Linked DNA regions of Rattus norvegicus. The protein of the gene in region 4 purifies or fractionates together with the protein of the main gene of each other region. This does not show direct contact. Links are inferred from orthologs where the notes say so. Each region holds a gene or a part of one and is shown on either strand. Other genes may lie near its edges.

Region 1 (4,072 bases), on a different chromosome or scaffold from region 4:
GCATCCCTTGGTTTTCAACAACACCAGCTATTTACTGGCAACTTTCAAAGTCTCAGTAATAATAGCGCTGGTTGCTATTCCCCTATTTATGACAAAATAAGACAGGCAACACCACAGTGCAAAAAAATGATGTGCTGTGAGTGCCCACATGGCGGACACTGGGCCTTTGCCTCTTCCTGACTAATACCTTAGAGCCTGGAGACATACTTCATGTTAACATATCAAGAGATCAAGGTTAAAAGAAGAACACTTTAAAAAAATTAAGAAATAAATCATAATTAAGAATGGTATGCATCCCACTATTACAGGTTCAAGCTTGCTGCCAAACCACACTTGCATTAGGGAATTGTACTTGCTGTCAGATAAGCAGAAACAATGAAGAAGACAGTTATAGCCTCATAAAAAGTTAACTTACCGCTAACCTTTCCAAGTTATATATTAATAACTAAGTTTGCTTTATACAAAACAAACCCCATTTCCCAGCCTGAGAAGTCATATCCAAATAATGCAAGGATTTAGAATGGTACGTTCTTTACCCCGATCCACCCTCAAAGACCTCAGTCTACCCTGTAGGATGCCAGATATTCAAGGACAAAAATATACTTCCAATCTTTGAGATGTCAGCATGGGTGTTTAAGGAAGGAAAAAAGGATTACACTGGGCTTTTTAAGGCTACTTAAATATTTTCCAAACGTCTGTGATCAGATGTAACCCAAGGGCATCTAGGGAGCCCATCTGTACATTCACCTACCTATTCAGGACCCAGACAATGAATGAAGCAGATCCCTCAAGAGGCCCCTAGAGGGTCAAGTTTCAAGCACTGAAATTACAAAGCCTGTTTTTGGATGATGTGAAAAAGCAATGACAGTCTCGGGCTTTTAAACCTAGAAGTGCTCACTAGTTCAATCCGTCCCCAAGTCCATGCCATCCTTTCAACTTTGCAATTAAGGAAGGGAGAAATTCCGGTCAACTCTCCTTGGGGGGTTGGTCTGGGGGTAGAGGACTCAAGGAGGGAGGAGGATGGAGACAGAAAGAGCAAAGCCAATTAAAAAATTAGCAAAATTGCCCACCTTTCTTAAATTCTTCCAGCATAGCGTCCAACTTGGTGTCATTGAAAACAAAGTGCAAAGGGTGGTTGTAAAATTTGGTGATGGTTTTCAAGGGAGTACAGTCATCTGGATCCACGAAGGCCAAGTCTTTGACAAAGAGCAGATCCACGATGTTGGACCGTTCTCCCTCGAACACTGGGATTCGAGTGTAGCCACTCTCCATGATCTCAGACATGGTGTTGAAGTCCAGGATAGCCTCGCCGGTGATCATGAAGCAGTCCCTGAGGGGAGTCATCACGTCCTCCACCGTCTTGGTGCGGAGCTCCAGCGCCCCTTGGATGATGTTCAGCTCCTCCTTAACGAGGTCGTTGTAGGGGTCAGTAACCCGGAGCATCTCTAGCAGTTTTTCCCGGTTATAGACAGTGCCTATCTCCTGGCCCAGGACGCAGTCCAGCAGTTTGCTAACCGGGTAAGAAGCGGGGAAGGTCATCATCATGAAAAACTTGGTGAGGAAGATGGTATTGGCCCCTACCGCCAGGCCGTGTCGGGAGCAAATGGCTTGGGGCACGATTTCTCCGAAGATGACGATGCCAATGGTGGAGACCACCACCGCCACAAGGCCTGAGCCCGCAATGTCGTCGAGCAGGATGGTGAGCGTGGTGTTGACTAGTACGTTTCCCAGCAGCAGCGAGCACAGCAGGTAGTTGCCCTGCCTGCGCACCGGCTCGATGCGCTTGGCATAATTCTTCTCTTTCTCCGTGCCGCAGTTTTGCACGATGCGCAGCTCCATCGGGTCCAGAGCCATGAGCCCCAGGTTGAGGCCGCTGAACATGCCGGACAGGCACAGCAGCAGCGAGATGAAGATCACTTGCAGCCAGAAGGGCAGCAAGAACTTCTTCTCCTCGCCCACTATCATCTTGGTGTCCTCACCGTCGTGGTAAATCCAGGTGGTCTCGGCCCAGGGAGGAGGCGGGAGTCCAGCCACCCCCGCGCCACCCTTGCCCCCGACGGTGCCACTCGCAGACCCGGAGCCGCCGGCGCCCAATGCGGGCGTGGAGAGAGACGTGCACAGGTAATAAGACTTGCTCTTCTCCATCTTGCGCAGCGGTTTGATCTCGATCTCAATGATGCCCGATGTGCGGCGATTGAGAATGATGTGGGGCAAGATGATGATGTCTGAGGTGCGGATGCCGCAGCGCTGGGGGCCACTGTCCGGCTCCGGAGGCGCGGGGCCCCCCAGCCCACGCTCGCCGGGTGTGTGCCGGCGCCGCTCGTGCTCAGTGAAGGCGATGCGGGACCATGTCTCGTTGTTGATGTTCTGCCCGTACACCCGCAGCTTGACCCGGGTCCGCTCGCTCACCCGCAGAGCACCCCCTTCCATGAACGACACGTCGTTCGTATCCTCCAGCCGCAGTCCGATGATCACAGTCTCCTCGTTCTCGCCGGCCGCTGTGCAGCCGCCCGCGCTGCAGCAGCAGCTCAGCAGTAGCAGCGGCAGCAGCCGGCCCGCAGCTGCCTGCAGGACCCCCCGGCCGCGGGCACTGAGGCTGCGGCGCGCCGCCATCTTCCAAGTGGGCAGTGCGGCGGCTGCCTGCCCGCCCGCCATCTTTACTTCGGGTTCACAAGCTCCACAGCCAATCATAGGGTGGCTGCTCCAGCTGAGGCTTCATCCTTCCCACCCGGCGGCGCGAGCGCAGGCACCGGCGCCCGAGCGGGACTGCAACCGCGCGTTCGCGCCCAGCCCTCAGCTGTCCTTCTCTCTGAATGACACTGATTCGGACTGAGCCAGCTGAGGAACCCCCGGGCTCGAGGGAGGAGGGAGGGGAGGGAGGGGCGTGCTAGCCTCTCCCGCGAGAGGCAGGTCTGCCAACCAATCAAGAGCGGGTGCCCGCCTTCCCAGCCAGGGGGCTGGAATGGGGGCGTGGTCGCAGTCGGCGTGCCGCACCAATGGCACGGGAGGTGGGCGGGGAGAAGAGGGCCACTGTCCTCCTCAGCATGCCAAGTTTCCAACTGAAAGGCGCGTGACTCTTGTGTATGCGAGGGGAGGGGGCGTGGCCATCCCAGACGCAAGAGCCAGTCAAAGATGAGCACTGTAGGGATGGGGGCGTGGTCTTCCTCCAGTCAACCAATGAAAAGGAGCGGTCCGCGGGTGCGGCGCTCCCTGTGGGGTCTCTGTAGTAGATCCTCGCGCGCGGGCTTGGCAGCCCTGCAATACTGCCCTGAGGCGCGAGGCCTCAAGTCCTTGCTGCAGGGCCTTGCGGGCTCCACAGGGCTCCGTGTCAGCGCAGAAAGGGCTGAGCCCTCCTTCCCTGGGAGCACCAGAGCCGACTGGAGACAACTTACGGTGCACACAGCCTAAAACCAAATAGGGATACTAGTCAAGCCCCCAGCCCACTACTCCTGCTTGCAACTCCTCTGGAGATTCGCGGTGACAGGGTGGCCCTAGCAACGCTGAGGACTTTCTGCGATCTCCGCGCCTCTGAGCGCCCTCAACTGCTCACGATCATGTGGCGCCACCTGCCGGCCCTCACGGGCGACCTTTGATGTTTGCTAGCTCTCAGCAAACCCCTCAAAGTGTGTGTGGTCAGCTTCCCAAACTTTGTAATCACAGGAATTCTCCTGTAGTCGTGCTATAATCACAGAATGAGATGGGTCCTGTTTTTGGTTTGGTTTGGTTTGGTTTGGTTTGGTTTAACGTGCACCCTGGCAATTTTGGGAAACAGGAAGGGGAGAGCTTCCTAAGAAGGCCCCTGAAAGCTTCCTCTGAAATGCACTGGCCAAATGCTGTTAGCTCCAGAGAAGATAGATTCTGGAGCACAGATTGCCAAGACTCTCAAATCTTCAGAGTAGATGCGGTAGCACAGCAGCTCCCAAATTGAACTTTCTGCCTCACAACTGAAGCGCGTTTTAAAAAAAAAATGTTTTCCTGGTCTTACTTTGTATTCCGTAATCACAATAGCCTTCCTCTTTGTCAATACCCTAAGTATTTTTTATAATTTCCAGGATGAGTAATTCCTGGGCTC
Region 2 (4,186 bases), on a different chromosome or scaffold from region 4:
AGCCAGCACGGGGCATGCTGGGACTTCCAGCAGGCCATTTTACTCCAGTTAGACCAACTGCTTAGTGGGACCTGAAAAGATGAACAACTTGAAATCTTATGATTACTACACCAAGACAAAAGATGCTCCGAGTGGAGTAGCTTGACTAAAAAAAGTGAAAGCCGATCTTACCCCAGATGTCTCCAGCAAAGGAACCATCTTCTTTCTGTAGACTCTGAACATAGGCTACCACTTTGTCTACGTTGATTACATGGATGCTATCATACAGAGTGAGAATCTGAAAGACAAGCATCGCAGGAATTTGTCCTGGGCCAACCACCATGCCCTTCCCCATTACTATAAATGGCTCACACGCGCCGGCTGTTACTCATTTCATTACAATTTCTTATTCCTTTGATAATTTGACAGAGGTAGGCTTTACCCGCCCTCTCGCTCCTCACTAAAACCAACTCTAACCTGGACTGACACAGATGCATTTTACCCTCCCAGGTCTCAGTGCCATTTGTAACTTGCATCAAGTTAGCATTCAGCTAATACATGCCATGACATCACTGACCTGTAGGAGAGAATTCACTCTAAAGGCGGGCAATTAACATTTGGGTCGTCACATAGGGTCAATGTTTCACAAGGGCTTACCTGGACAGCACTGAGCGTGTAGAGAAGGTGGGGGTCGTGCCCGATGCTGGCACTGACTCCCCCACACTCATGCTGGCACGACTTGATAAACACCAGTATCTCCTCTTTATTCATCCGATGAAGCTGCCCCATGAGGTCCATCACTGTCAGGCCCCAGTAGACGCCGCTCATTCTCAAGTATTCGGACATGCAGTATTCCTGGGAGAAGTGTCTTAAATTTGTCACTCTTGACTACAAAACCCACCTTTACCTAGGTCAGCTGTGAACAACTTTAAGAGCATCGGTTCTCACCCCTTTGGGTCCGACATTACAGCAAAATTAAGTCTTGAACTAATGAAACTATCTTATGGTTGGGGCTCACCACAACATGCAGAACTGTATGGTACGACAGGGTTGCAGCATCAGGAAGATTGAGAACAAACTTTAATAGTTTCCAAGTGCCAACTTCAGGTGAATTTAGTAGGCAACATTCACTCCTTCAGTCTACCAAACACCAATTACTGCATTTTACAAGGTCTATGAATACGGAGAGATAAATGGTGCTGGAGATGGAAACCAAATCAAGCATCATTTCACAAGCGTTCACTCAGGTACAGGTGTCATTGGTGTGCTGCCAAGCCAAACCAAACGCCTAAAGGGCCAGGCGGACAGTTGACATAAGGACCATTTAGGCCTATGATTCCCCCCCTCCCAAAATAAGGGTCTGATTACCCATGTGATTCCTCTTTGGAGAGGGTCTCCCCACAAAGCCCGGGGTTTCCAGCTCTACCCCTTGCTGGAGATTATCACAGGGGTGTGGTAACCTCCCTATTATACTGTTTAGGTAAAACCTTTTCAAGGTCTCAGCGTAATTCTAGAGCTCAAATGTTAGGACACATCAGCAAATTCAGATAATACATGCCAACACATCATTGACCTTCAAGGTTATACCCCAGACAGAAAGGAGTAAACCCCTTCTACCTGCATCCCTGTATTCTGGCCCTTTGTGTACCGGTATGCAAGGCTAATGCTATCCAGTATCAACCTCTAGTATACCAGGCCCATCTATCCTAATGGACTTTAAATCAGGCCTCTGCCAACAGACAACGCTTTAAGAAACAGGCCTGTCCATTAGTATTAAACTAACAAGAAACTCATACACACATAATCATCTTTCTTTGAGCCGTACGAGGCGATATAATCAGCATGCTTCTCGAGCAGCAGGGTGTCAGGCGCATCTGACTTGATGGTGACGTCCTTCTGCTGTGTGCCCTTCGAAGAAAAACAGAGACTGGATCATTACGTTTTCCTTTCGACATCCTGAAAACTTGACAGCCCAGACTCGTATGACCAGATGACGGCACTTTTTTTTTCGGGTCTCAGAGTAATTCTAGAGCTAAAGTGGTTATTAATCAACTTTAGATTCAGAATACATGCCAGCTCATCATTGACCCGAATTCTGCCGCTCACCTTTTTGCCGACCAAGTGCAATACACACTCTCGATCGGTGAATTTGAAGCTTCAGTGCACTGTTCAACAGTCCTCAAATATTATCTCCTTTACTAAACGATCAGGCCCATTAGCTCCAAATTTCACCTTCGGATCTAAGATATTCGCCATCACCCATTAAGTAGGTCAAAGCAAATCCACTGCCAAATAAGTTATTTTTCTATTTTGTTCAGAGTCTCGGCTATGAAGCCCTGTGTGGTCTGGAACTCCCCGTGTAGACCAGGCTGCCTGCTACTGCTTCAGGAGTGATACGATTAAAAGGCGTGGGCCAAGGCCGGCCTTCTTCCATCCCAATTAGAATATTTAACTTTGAAACAATATTCGTAAATGATCATTGAACCCTGAAAAAAACAGGCACACACAAGTCTCCGATGCAAAGGGAAAAAAAAAAAAGGCGGCTCAATCCAGAGAGGCTCGCCTACGGGCCGCGGATAACATCACAACCCTCGAGAACTGCAGAAAACGCTGAGCCATTGCTCAAGGAGCGGTCTAAGACCGGCCTCAGAAGGCCGAGGCAGGAGCATTGCTGAGAGCTCACAAGAAGAATGCAAGAAGAATGCTAGCCTTGCATGCCCGCCCGCTCCCCGTGCTGCGCCAGCCCACGATGCGGAGCAGCTTGACCCACCGCCCAGGCCTCCCCAACTTCCGCGCACCAAAGCGATGTCGCTCTCACCATGTCCGACCGCCGAAAGACTGAAGAGCGCGGGAGCACGGAAAGTCAGGGTCTGCGCGCCTGCGCACAGGCGCCCGCCCGGCAGCCCACGCCCTACCTAGCCGGCCACGCTCCGCCCGAAGGACCCCGCGGTCACGATTTAGCCGGCCGCACTCCTGCCTGAAGGACTCCGCGGTCACGGTGCAGCAGGCTATGCGTCTGCCTGAAGGACCCCATGTCACTCAGTTTGTAAAGAGCTTTCCTAGCACTCAAAGAGGCCGGGGGTTGATTTCAACCTTTGCGTATAAACCCGAAGTGTTAGTGCAGACCTATTATCTTAGCAGTGGAAAAGTGGTGGCAGGAGGATCAGTGGTCCAAATCATCGGCCGTGTAGGCACTTGGAAGCCATCCTGAGCTAGAGGTCCCTACCTACTCCCCATAAAATTGATCAATTTTAGTGTGTCTGTTACCCAGCTAATGAAAAATATATTGCCACATATATTACTATGGAAAAATACCATGTGAAAATGGATGCTTGGGTTTGATTCCAGAAACCGCTAGAATAAGGCTAGTTTTTCCACTCTGTATTGGTAAATTTGTATGGTTTAACTCTAACTTTTAATATTTATTTTAAAAGCCCCAAGCCTTGAACTCACAACTGAAAATGCTAGGCATGCTATCTCCCCAGTCCACTTTGCCTCTTCAAAGACTAAAATATGCCTCCCGACCCCAAAGAACTGTTGCTGCAATAAAACAGGTCTATAAATTCTTCTATCTCTCCAAAGCCAAGATGTCAGATACAGCCACGTCAGGGATTTGAATGTGGCCAGTCTAAACTGAAAAATGCTGTAGTCATAAAATACAAATTGTGTGCCAAGCTTCTCATTTTGAAGTTTGTTTGTTGACTGCCTTCTGAATATCTATGCTTATGCCCGTAGAAAACGCTACTCTCAGCCCAAATCAGATAAGCCTTTCTATGCAGGGGACGACAGTGAATACAGAGATTCACGACTGCCCAAGGTTATCTGGAGAATACATTAGTTGAGGGATGACCTCTAAAAGCCTAGTGACTATCATAAAAGAGGGCAGCAGAAAGAATATAAGAGAAGATAATAGGAAAAGGCCCAGAAGCCATCTTCTGAGCATGACAACCACTGCAGCCTTGAACTCAGAGCCACTGTGTTTATCTGCACTGAGCTTCACACAAATGACCCTGACGGACAGTCACGGATGAGGAAGGGACTCAGGGGCCCTGCCCCTCTCTGCTGACCTAATGGGTACAGACACACACTGGGAAATGGGGAGTCATTATTCAGACGTGTGCCTGCTGGTAAGCTGACCAGGCATCGGTGGACTGCTCCAACCCCATGGTCATACAGGCAGCCCCAGTTAAACTCAGTGAGTCACAAA
Region 3 (4,245 bases), on a different chromosome or scaffold from region 4:
GGAGACACACTCCCCACTGCTCCTACTCAGAGCGAAACAGGCTCCTGGGTCTACAGCACTAACTCTCCTTCCATGCCATCCAGACTATCTCCTGTCCTGGTCACCATCCTCAAGATGCCCTTGGCTCTGATGCTGAGGATCTCTGTAGAAAACTTAAAAGGGAGAGTTGCCAACCTGCCTCCTTGGCCGTGACCCTGACCCAAGTGCGCCTTTGAAGATCAAACCTGGTAAGGCCATTTCTTCTCTCCTGATCCCATTTCAAGCCTGTCTACCACCTTCCGGATTCGGAAATGACCCCGGGCTTATCACAACTAGTGTTCAAATGTGGCTCCCGGGTCAGCCGAGCCTTAGCCAGAAACAGCTCTATGTACAGGAGGAAGGTTGGGACCAGGACTGTGAAGCAAAGTCATATGAGCTTCAGGGTCTCCTCTACAGAGTTCCCTTTCTTCCTCCTCACCTCCTTCACCCTAGGAGAGTTTTACTCTAGAGCTGCCTTGTTTACAGCCACTTTTGGGAGTTTCGGGGCAGAAGAGGGAGGAAGTCTTTGCTGGCAATAAGGAAAATGGTGTGTGCCCTGAGCTTGGAGGCAAGGGAGTAGACCCTCTTAAGTGCCTACTTACGGGGGAGCTAGCCAAGCACACACACACACATCACATACACACACACACACACACACAGCAAGGCCACCTGAAGACTGGGAGTGGGGGCAAGTTTATGTTTGACTCTTGGGAAAGATGGAGCAGTAACCAAAGCTCTCCCTCCATGCTTCTGCTAAACAGCAGAAACTGTGGGAGTTCCGAGTTGGGAGCCCAGGAGAGACCTCCCAATTTTGCTTGTGGGCTGGAGGGTGAGTGATACTACGCTGCCACAAAATCTAGAGCTCCAAACCTGGGGCAAACTCGAGGGGGAAAGTGTGAAAATATCCAAGCTGTCCCCTGGTGGTCATGGGTCAGAAGAGCCAGGAGGTCCACTAGAACCACAAAACAATCCTCACAAGAGCGGTGCAACCCAGTCCCAAGTCACTTCATCAGTCAAGATTCCCCTCAAATGTTTTCCCCTGTGACAACATCCTCAGCTCCCAGACTACTTCCCCTCACCACCCTTTACGTCTCCATGAGGCCTGGTGGCTGCTTTTCAGCCACGAGCCTTACCCTGTATCCCTCCCGCAGCTCCAGACAAGTGTGTCTCCTTCAGCTTGGATTCAACTAAACACAGAGCACAGTGAGAGCTGCTTCTGCTGCGCCTGTGATAACGTTCACCCCAGAGGTACAGGAAATGATGGACAGAGGGACCCAGAGTCAATTGCACAAACAGAAGAGTGAAACAGAAAACAGAGAGCACGCAGGAGATGCTTCAGGGAAAGTGGTGGGGGGAGATATCAAAAGGACATTTAACCAGGAGCCACCCCAGTCCTTACCCTTCTTGAATTCCTCCAGCATGGCATCCAGCTTGGTGTCATGAAAAACAAAATGGACCGGGTGGTTGTAGAAGCGAGTGATCGTCTTGAGCGGGGTGCAGTCATCTGGGTCAACAAAAGCCAGGTCTTTGACGTAAAGGATATCTACGATATTGGACTGCTCATCTTCAAACACAGGAATGCGAGTATAGCCACTCTCCATAATCTCCGACATGGTGTTGAAGTCCAGAATGGCATCACTGCGGATCATGAAGCAGTCGTGTAGCTGGGTCATGATATCCTCCACAGTTTTGGTCCTTAGTTCCAGAGCACCCTGGATCATGTTTAACTCCTCCTTCACCAGGTCATTATAGGGCTCTGTCACCTTCAACATCTCCATCAGTTTCTCCCGATTGTAAACAGTGCGAATCTCCTGACCCAAGACGAAGTCCAGGAGTTTGCTAATGGGGAAACTCAGGGGGAAAGTGAGTAACATAAAGATTTTGGTGAGAACAATAGTGTTGGCACCCACAGCCAGCCCATGCCTGGAGCACAGGGCTTGAGGTAAGATCTCCCCAAAGATGACAATGCCAATGGTGGAGGAGGCCACTGCCATGATGCCAGAACCGATGAGGTTGTCTAGAAGGATGGTGAGGGAGGTGTTGACTAGCACATTCCCCAGGAGCAGCGAGCAGAGCAGGTAGTTGCCCTTGCGCCTGATGGGCTCTATCTTGCGAGCGTACCTTCTCTCCTTCTCAGTTCCACAGTTCTGCACGATGCGCAACTCCATCGGGTCCAGGGCCATAAGCCCCAAGTTGAGGCCAGAAAAGATGCCCGACAGCACCAACAGCACCAAAACAAGAAGGATGTGCAGCCAGAGCGGCAGAAACCTCCCATGCTCCTCCACCATGAAGAGCAGGGAGTCCTTGTCCGTCCATTTGAGCCAGGGCCCGTCGGCCCGGGTCCGGGTGCACAGCGCGTACAGCTTCATGTTCTCACTCCTCCGCAGGAACTTGGTAATCACCACTAGCATCCCCGACGTGTTCCCGCGGCTCACGTTGACCAGCCGCTGGACCACTAAGTCCTTGGTGAGCTCCAGGCAGTTGGTGGAGTTGTGGACCGTCTCGGCGTCGTCCACCTCGGTGAAGGAGATCAGGTTGCTAGAGATCTCGCCCAGTCTGTGGCCGTAGAGCCTCAAGTTCACCGTGCTGCCCTCGGACACGAAGATGATGCCATCCGGGTTCATCCCGCACGACTTGTTGCAGCTCGCCAGCCTCATGCCTAGGATCACGCTCTGCTGGGGGCTGCTCTGGCCGCTGGCCGCCCGCGTCCATAGCAGCAGCAGCAGCGCGGCCAGGAGGAGGCGCCCTCGGGCCGGCCAGCCGTCCCGCCGCCCGCCCCCGCCCCCCGGCGCCATGTTGCTCCGGCCCCGCCGCTGCCCGCGCCCCGCCGCGCGCCTCACTCGGCGCCGCCGCTCCTGCCCTCCTGCCGCTCCGCCGCCGCCGCGCCAACTGCCCCAGGAGAGGGCCTGACGTCAGACCGCGCCCCGCCCGCCCCGCCCCGCCGCCCCACGCCCCTTATTTGCATGCGAGGTCCCGCCCCTACCCAGGGCTCGCGCTCCGGGCTTAAGGAGGTCTGAGCGCTTAAGGTGGAACGGCGCGAGGCGAGCGCGGGAGCCTGCGGCGGGGGTGCGCCCAGCCCAGCCTCCGCGCCGCGCGCGGCTTCTCCCGAGCTCCTCCTTAGGGAGCCCGGCTCCCAGGCCTCACGCGCCTGGCTGCTTCCGGGTCCCCTGCACTCTGTTGCTCCGTTCTAGGGCGGGTGTGCTTCTCCACAAGCACAGCGAGAAAAAAGCATGCCATTTCCTGGTTTAGAAAAAGAAAAGGGAACCTGAGGGCTCAGGCTGGCATTACAGCCTCCTCACTTCTGGTATTTTTGCTGGCCTTGACCCAAGGCCAGAAATAGATTGTCTCTGCCCCCGAACTCCCCCAGCCCACCGGTCGCTTCTGTCTGGAGACCACCAGCCCCCTAAGGTGCTGAGGATTCAGGCTCTGAGCTAGGTTTTTCACCTGTCATTTCTATTTAGGGATGTTTTCATTGAATATGTATACTTGCAGACTCTAACAATAAGGCAACGAACACGCCAAAATTCTTGCACACCTTAGTTTACAGCCTAGCATCAGAAAAAATGGCAATAAGCAAGTATAGCTATACGGGGCGGGGGGTGGTGGTGGTGGCGGGAGGGGGAGCTCAATAAACAAATACACACAGGAACAGTTATTGAATCCTTCTGGCCACGTGAAGTATTTTATATCTTACAGATTTGAACCTAGGCACAAATCTTAGGCCTTTCAGATCTCCACCGTTAATCCTAGTTCCTGTCTGTAAACGGCGGTAAGAATGACTATTGAGACAAGATCTTACATAGCCCAATATGGCTTTGAACTCTTCAAATCTAAGGCTACCGTGAACTCCCCGATCCTCCATCCATAGACTCCCAAGTGCAGGGTTTACAGGCATGCACCACCATGCCTGGGTTGATTTGATTGTTCAGCTATGGGTTCAGTTTTTAATTTGATGGCAGGAAGAGTGATAACACAGCATCACCTGGCTAAAGCAAGTGAGAACAATTGGCTTACACATCAAACATGACATGACAACTCTCTGTGAATAGTCTTTGCCTGTGTAGTAATAGTCATTGCTGCCTGCTCTTTCAGAACCGTACCCTTAACCCCAAATTGTGGTGACTGGCCAGCTGAGGCAGCTGCTTGTGGAAATGAACCGAGAGGTGTGGCTGCTGTTCTAGCCTTGAGATCACTGCTTCCTGGTCAGCCCTACTTGGATGTCATCCG
Region 4 (4,329 bases):
AAAAAAAAAAAAAGTTCATATATACAATGACCTAGAAGTTGTATTCTTGGGACTTCACAGAAAGCAGGTACTAAGGTCAGGACAGCATCTTCACCATAGACAGAACAGAATGCTGAAAGGTATAAATACTGTCTATTAGCGTTCCCAAAGAGGGATGGCACACCTATACGGTGAATTCTATGATGGCTACAAAAGTAACACAAAAGAGACTGGTGGAACCGTTTTAAATGTGTAGTATGATCTCATATGTGTATTTCTGAATATACACACATGTGGGAAACAAAACCTAGAAGCCTAAGGTATTTAACAATTCAATGTTTTTATAATTTCTGTTATTTTGCTGTCTATTTTCAAGATAGGGTGTCTGTTTAACAGCCCTGACTGTCCTGAAACTTGATTTGTAGACCAGGCTTGCCTTGAATTTACAGAGATCCACCTACCTGTCCCCGACTCCCAATTATTGGGTTAATGCCTACTTCTTATTTTGCCTTCTCTATTTCCCCCCAAGACAGTATTTCTTTGTGTAGCCCTGGGTATCCTAGAACTAGCTCTGAAGATCAGGCTGGCCTGGAATTCAGAGATCAGCCTCTGCCTCCCCAGGGCTAGGATTTAAAGGTGTGTGCCTCCACTGGCTGGCTGCTTTAATTTTTATGCGATAATCATCTATTGCTTTTCTAAAGAGCAAAAGTTTAATTTTGAAATTGGGGGGAAAAGTAATTTTAAAAGAGCTAGTACATGGGGTTGGGGATTTAGCTCAGTGGCAGAGCGCTTGCCTAGGAAGCGCAAGGCCCTGGGTTCGGTCCCAGCTCCGGGGGGAAAAAAAGAACCACAAAAAAAAAAAAAAAAAAAAAAAAAAGAGCTAGTACACAATTATAGCCAGTTATTCCTTTAAACAGAATACAGGCCAGGAGCGGCTCTCCAGACACAAAGGCAGGCAGACAGGGCCATACAGTGAGACCCTAACAAACAATTATTTACATTTGTTCATTTTTGTGCCTGTGCTTGTGAACAATACTCCAATCTCCGGTCTCTCCTTCTACCACATGGGTTTTGGGGTTGAGCTTAGGTCAGCAGCTTTGGTAGTGAGGACCTTTACCCACTGAACCATCTCACCAGCTCCCAGCTAGAATTTTAAAAATAAGTATTTCTAGTGGCACAGACTTGTCATCTCTACTTAGATGGTTAAACAGAAGGACCACAAGGATCATCTGAGCTACAGAATTAGATTAAGGCCAGGCTGGGAAATTTTGTGAGTGCTTCACATAGAAAGTAAATACAGAAGGGCTGGAGACACAGCTCGTGGCACTGTCCCTCTTGACATGCATGAGGCCCTGAGCTCCATTTCCAGCCACAAAAATAGGGGGTGGGGAGCTAACATGAGTTTCATGGTTATTTCTCATCAAAATATTGTTATAATTTTTATTGGTAAAACTACTTGGTCTCAGCTTTGCCACCCATAACCAAGAGTCCCTGGCTGACTGGTCCTCCAGCTGCTCTCCACTCCACAACACATCAACTGAACTCACATTTGATGCTATCATCTATACAAGATTAAAGACTTTATATTTAAATCTCCCCTGAAGAGTAAAGACTTTCTCCATTGCATAAGGAGGAAAAAAGGAAAAAAGGAGGCTCCATGTTTACTACTCATGACCACTTCCTTCCCCAAGTTTCTGGATTCCTGTACTTGTAATAACTGCTGTTACTAAGCAGTTTGTGGTTGAAGTATGACATCAGTTTATTGTTTTTAATTACTACACGTTGATTTAGGGCATATGGGACATACATGTGTGTTATGGCAATGTGCAGAAGTCAGAGGACAACCTGGAGGAATCAGTTCTCATATTCCCAAGGATAGAATCTAGGTTGTCATGACAACAAGCTCCTTTACCCATCTTGCTCACCCCTTAACATGTGCACTAGGATGCATGACAGGCTTAAGGTACTAGTTCTACCCATACAATGACTTTTGAAGCTGAGTGGTGCTCCGTCTAGAAGGAGAAAACAATAGCACCCGTGGTCTCATAGTCGTACCTGGACCTTACAAACAGTATTCAGTGCTTACTGCAATGCTGAGTACATACTGTGGTCAATAAATGTTGAGTTTACTGAAAAATGGCAAAAATACTGCTAATAAACACAGAAAGAACACACAATTAGAAGTACTAGATAATCTACAGTATCTCCAAATTCCATATTCTTCCAAAATTGTAACAATTCAACCCAACGTAAACTATGAAAGGCTAAACCTTCGTAGTTAAGAAAAGCTGACCCGGAAGTCGACCCTGCCACCACCTTACCTCGGTGAACTTGTTGAGAGTCGCATTGGTTGGGTTGTGAGTTATCAGAAAACGCATGTTCTCGTACGAGATCTCCACAGGGGCTGGACGGTTCATTATGGCAAATAAAAAGTGTGAGCGTGCGTGTGTGAGTGTGGTGGGGGGAATGGGGGAGGAGGAAATCAATAAATCTTGAAATGTTTCGCAGCAGAAAACATTAAAAAGACCACTAAATGCCTCTTATTGATCACTATCTTCTCTATTCAACTTGCTTGTTCCTTATGAAGCTTCTCTTCAGCACAGGCAGAAGTGTTAAGAATCCACTTGAATCCAAATTCAACTTGGGCCTCAATGTCTGCAGATGGATACCTTCAGCTTCCAAAAAATCCAACTACACACAAAATTTAAGCAGCCTTTAAACTACATTTAGGCACTAGTGAGACAAGTTAAAAGTGTAGGTTCTTTTCCACTTTTGTTTACTTGATGCTTAATTTTACTGGAGTCATTAAAAGAATACGCTTGCAATTTAAAAAAAAAAAAAAGCCTACTACTTCTGAGGCCAGTCTCGGTGTCCAGAGTCTTCAAGGCAATGTTAATTATGGCACATAGAACCCCAAGCTCACTTGTCAGCGAAAAGGCTGTGCTGAGCCTGGCAGAAGTCTGCCCTCACGCTCAGAATCGCCATAAATGTGCAACGTATATTCCAACGAAAAACCTGGGGGGGAAAAAAACAGGTAAAATGAAGTGAATAACAGAACGGAATAAACATGAAGCCTTCAGAAAGAACAGATTCTCTAAGAGACCAAAATAGGTAAAATGTAACAAATGCTAAATTATCGACACCTTTAAAGATTGGGATAAGGGGGACATACATAACAAGGTCTTAAACACAGGTCTTACAATAATCATGTCTAACTCATTTTTCATTGTCTTGAGATCTTAAAAATTCATCCAATAAATTAAGGGTACTTGAAGAAAATGTCTTTCCATGGACTCTTTTTAACTCTTCAACTCACAAAGCGACTGCATTTGTCTGCTTTGGTAACTTGCTCTTTCACATGTATTCTGTTTAAAACAGGGTATTCATTTGTAAATAGGCTGAGGATAATTAACATAACTTTACTTCAAAAATTTGATTATATTAAAATATGAACTGGCTCCCCAATTATGATATTAATCCATTAAGCACAGCTAAATTTTTTATTTCAGGTCTGGAGGTATAGCTCAGTTGGAGTGCTTGCCTAACATACAAGTCTAATTAATTCGACTGGCAGCACCTCATAAATGGGTGTGTGGCACATACCCAGTAATCCTAGCACCTGAACGGTAGAAGCAGGAAGATCAGAAATTCAAGTTTAGGGCAAGCCTGGTCTACATGCACACAAGAGCTGTTATAAGTTAAAGGATTTGCCTTGAGTCACATAGTAAATTAACTGGGCCATGTGGTTTGTTTTTTAATGTATCCCCACTGTCTACGGGCTCAGCTCACGCACACATAAATGCTCTTCTGGTCCAGGTTTTCCTTTTTGTCACTGCCTCAAGAGCACAAAATCAGCCAGGCATAGCTGTAGTCTCAGCACTCAAGATGTTCATACAGGGAAATGACAATTCTTAGGCCAACTCTGTCTACACAGCTATACGGTGAGAAGTTCTATCAAAAATAATTTAAGGGATTTTTTTTTAAATGTGGACTTAGTGACATACACCTTTAATCTCGGCTCTTGGGAAGCAGAAACAGCAGAAGCTGATGGAGTTCTGTATGTTTGAAGCCACCTTAGTTTACATAGAAGTTCTATGCCAGCCAGGGCTATATAGTAAGACCCTAAGAAACAATAATTATGGGATTGGGGATTTAGCTCAGCGGTAGAGCACTTGCCTAGCAAGCGCAAGGCCCTGGGTTCGGTCCCCAGCTCCGAAAAAAAGAAAAAAGAAAAAAAAAACCAAAAAAACAATAATTTTAGGGCTAAAAGATGATTTCATGGTTGAGAGGGTAAACTACTCTTGCAAAGGACTTCAAATCTCCAACACCCACAATAAGCAGTTCATAACT

What was found.
Region 1: the proteins of Ptp4a2 (region 4) and Cnnm2 purify together in Homo sapiens (affinity purification with mass spectrometry; 4 studies listed by BioGRID and IntAct, counting the BioPlex papers as one, with this or other methods). This does not show direct contact. The link is inferred for Rattus norvegicus from reciprocal best matches to the Homo sapiens genes PTP4A2 and CNNM2.
Region 2: the proteins of Ptp4a2 (region 4) and Rabggtb purify together in Homo sapiens (affinity purification with mass spectrometry; 3 studies listed by BioGRID and IntAct, counting the BioPlex papers as one, with this or other methods). This does not show direct contact. The link is inferred for Rattus norvegicus from reciprocal best matches to the Homo sapiens genes PTP4A2 and RABGGTB.
Region 3: the proteins of Ptp4a2 (region 4) and Cnnm4 purify together in Homo sapiens (affinity purification with mass spectrometry; 6 studies listed by BioGRID and IntAct, counting the BioPlex papers as one, with this or other methods). This does not show direct contact. The link is inferred for Rattus norvegicus from reciprocal best matches to the Homo sapiens genes PTP4A2 and CNNM4.

The regions. Positions count from the first base shown.
Region 1 is NC_086019.1:255,583,880-255,587,951, reverse strand, and holds the start of Cnnm2 (metal transporter CNNM2), read right to left. Parts: upstream 2,801-4,072; 5' UTR 2,692-2,800; coding exon 1,071-2,691; intron 1-1,070.
Region 2 is NC_086020.1:245,507,964-245,512,149, forward strand, and holds the start of Rabggtb (geranylgeranyl transferase type-2 subunit beta), read right to left. Parts: upstream 2,817-4,186; 5' UTR 2,801-2,816; coding exon 2,798-2,800; exon of another isoform or gene 2,778-2,797; intron 2,069-2,777; exon of another isoform or gene 1,989-2,068; intron 1,888-1,988; coding exon 1,780-1,887; intron 1,554-1,779; exon of another isoform or gene 1,473-1,553; intron 835-1,472; coding exon 637-834; intron 558-636; exon of another isoform or gene 487-557; intron 278-486; coding exon 172-277; intron 60-171; exon of another isoform or gene 1-59. UniProt on the Homo sapiens protein: Catalyzes the transfer of a geranylgeranyl moiety from geranylgeranyl diphosphate to both cysteines of Rab proteins with the C-terminal sequence -XXCC, -XCXC and -CCXX, such as RAB1A, RAB3A, RAB5A and RAB7A.
Region 3 is NC_086027.1:46,206,272-46,210,516, reverse strand, and holds the start of Cnnm4 (metal transporter CNNM4 precursor), read right to left. Parts: upstream 2,814-4,245; coding exon 1,418-2,813; intron 1-1,417. UniProt on the Homo sapiens protein: Probable metal transporter. The interaction with the metal ion chaperone COX11 suggests that it may play a role in sensory neuron functions. May play a role in biomineralization and retinal function.
Region 4 is NC_086023.1:147,464,092-147,468,420, reverse strand, and holds the start of Ptp4a2 (protein tyrosine phosphatase type IVA 2), read right to left. Parts: upstream 2,808-4,329; 5' UTR 2,397-2,807; coding exon 2,301-2,396; intron 1-2,300.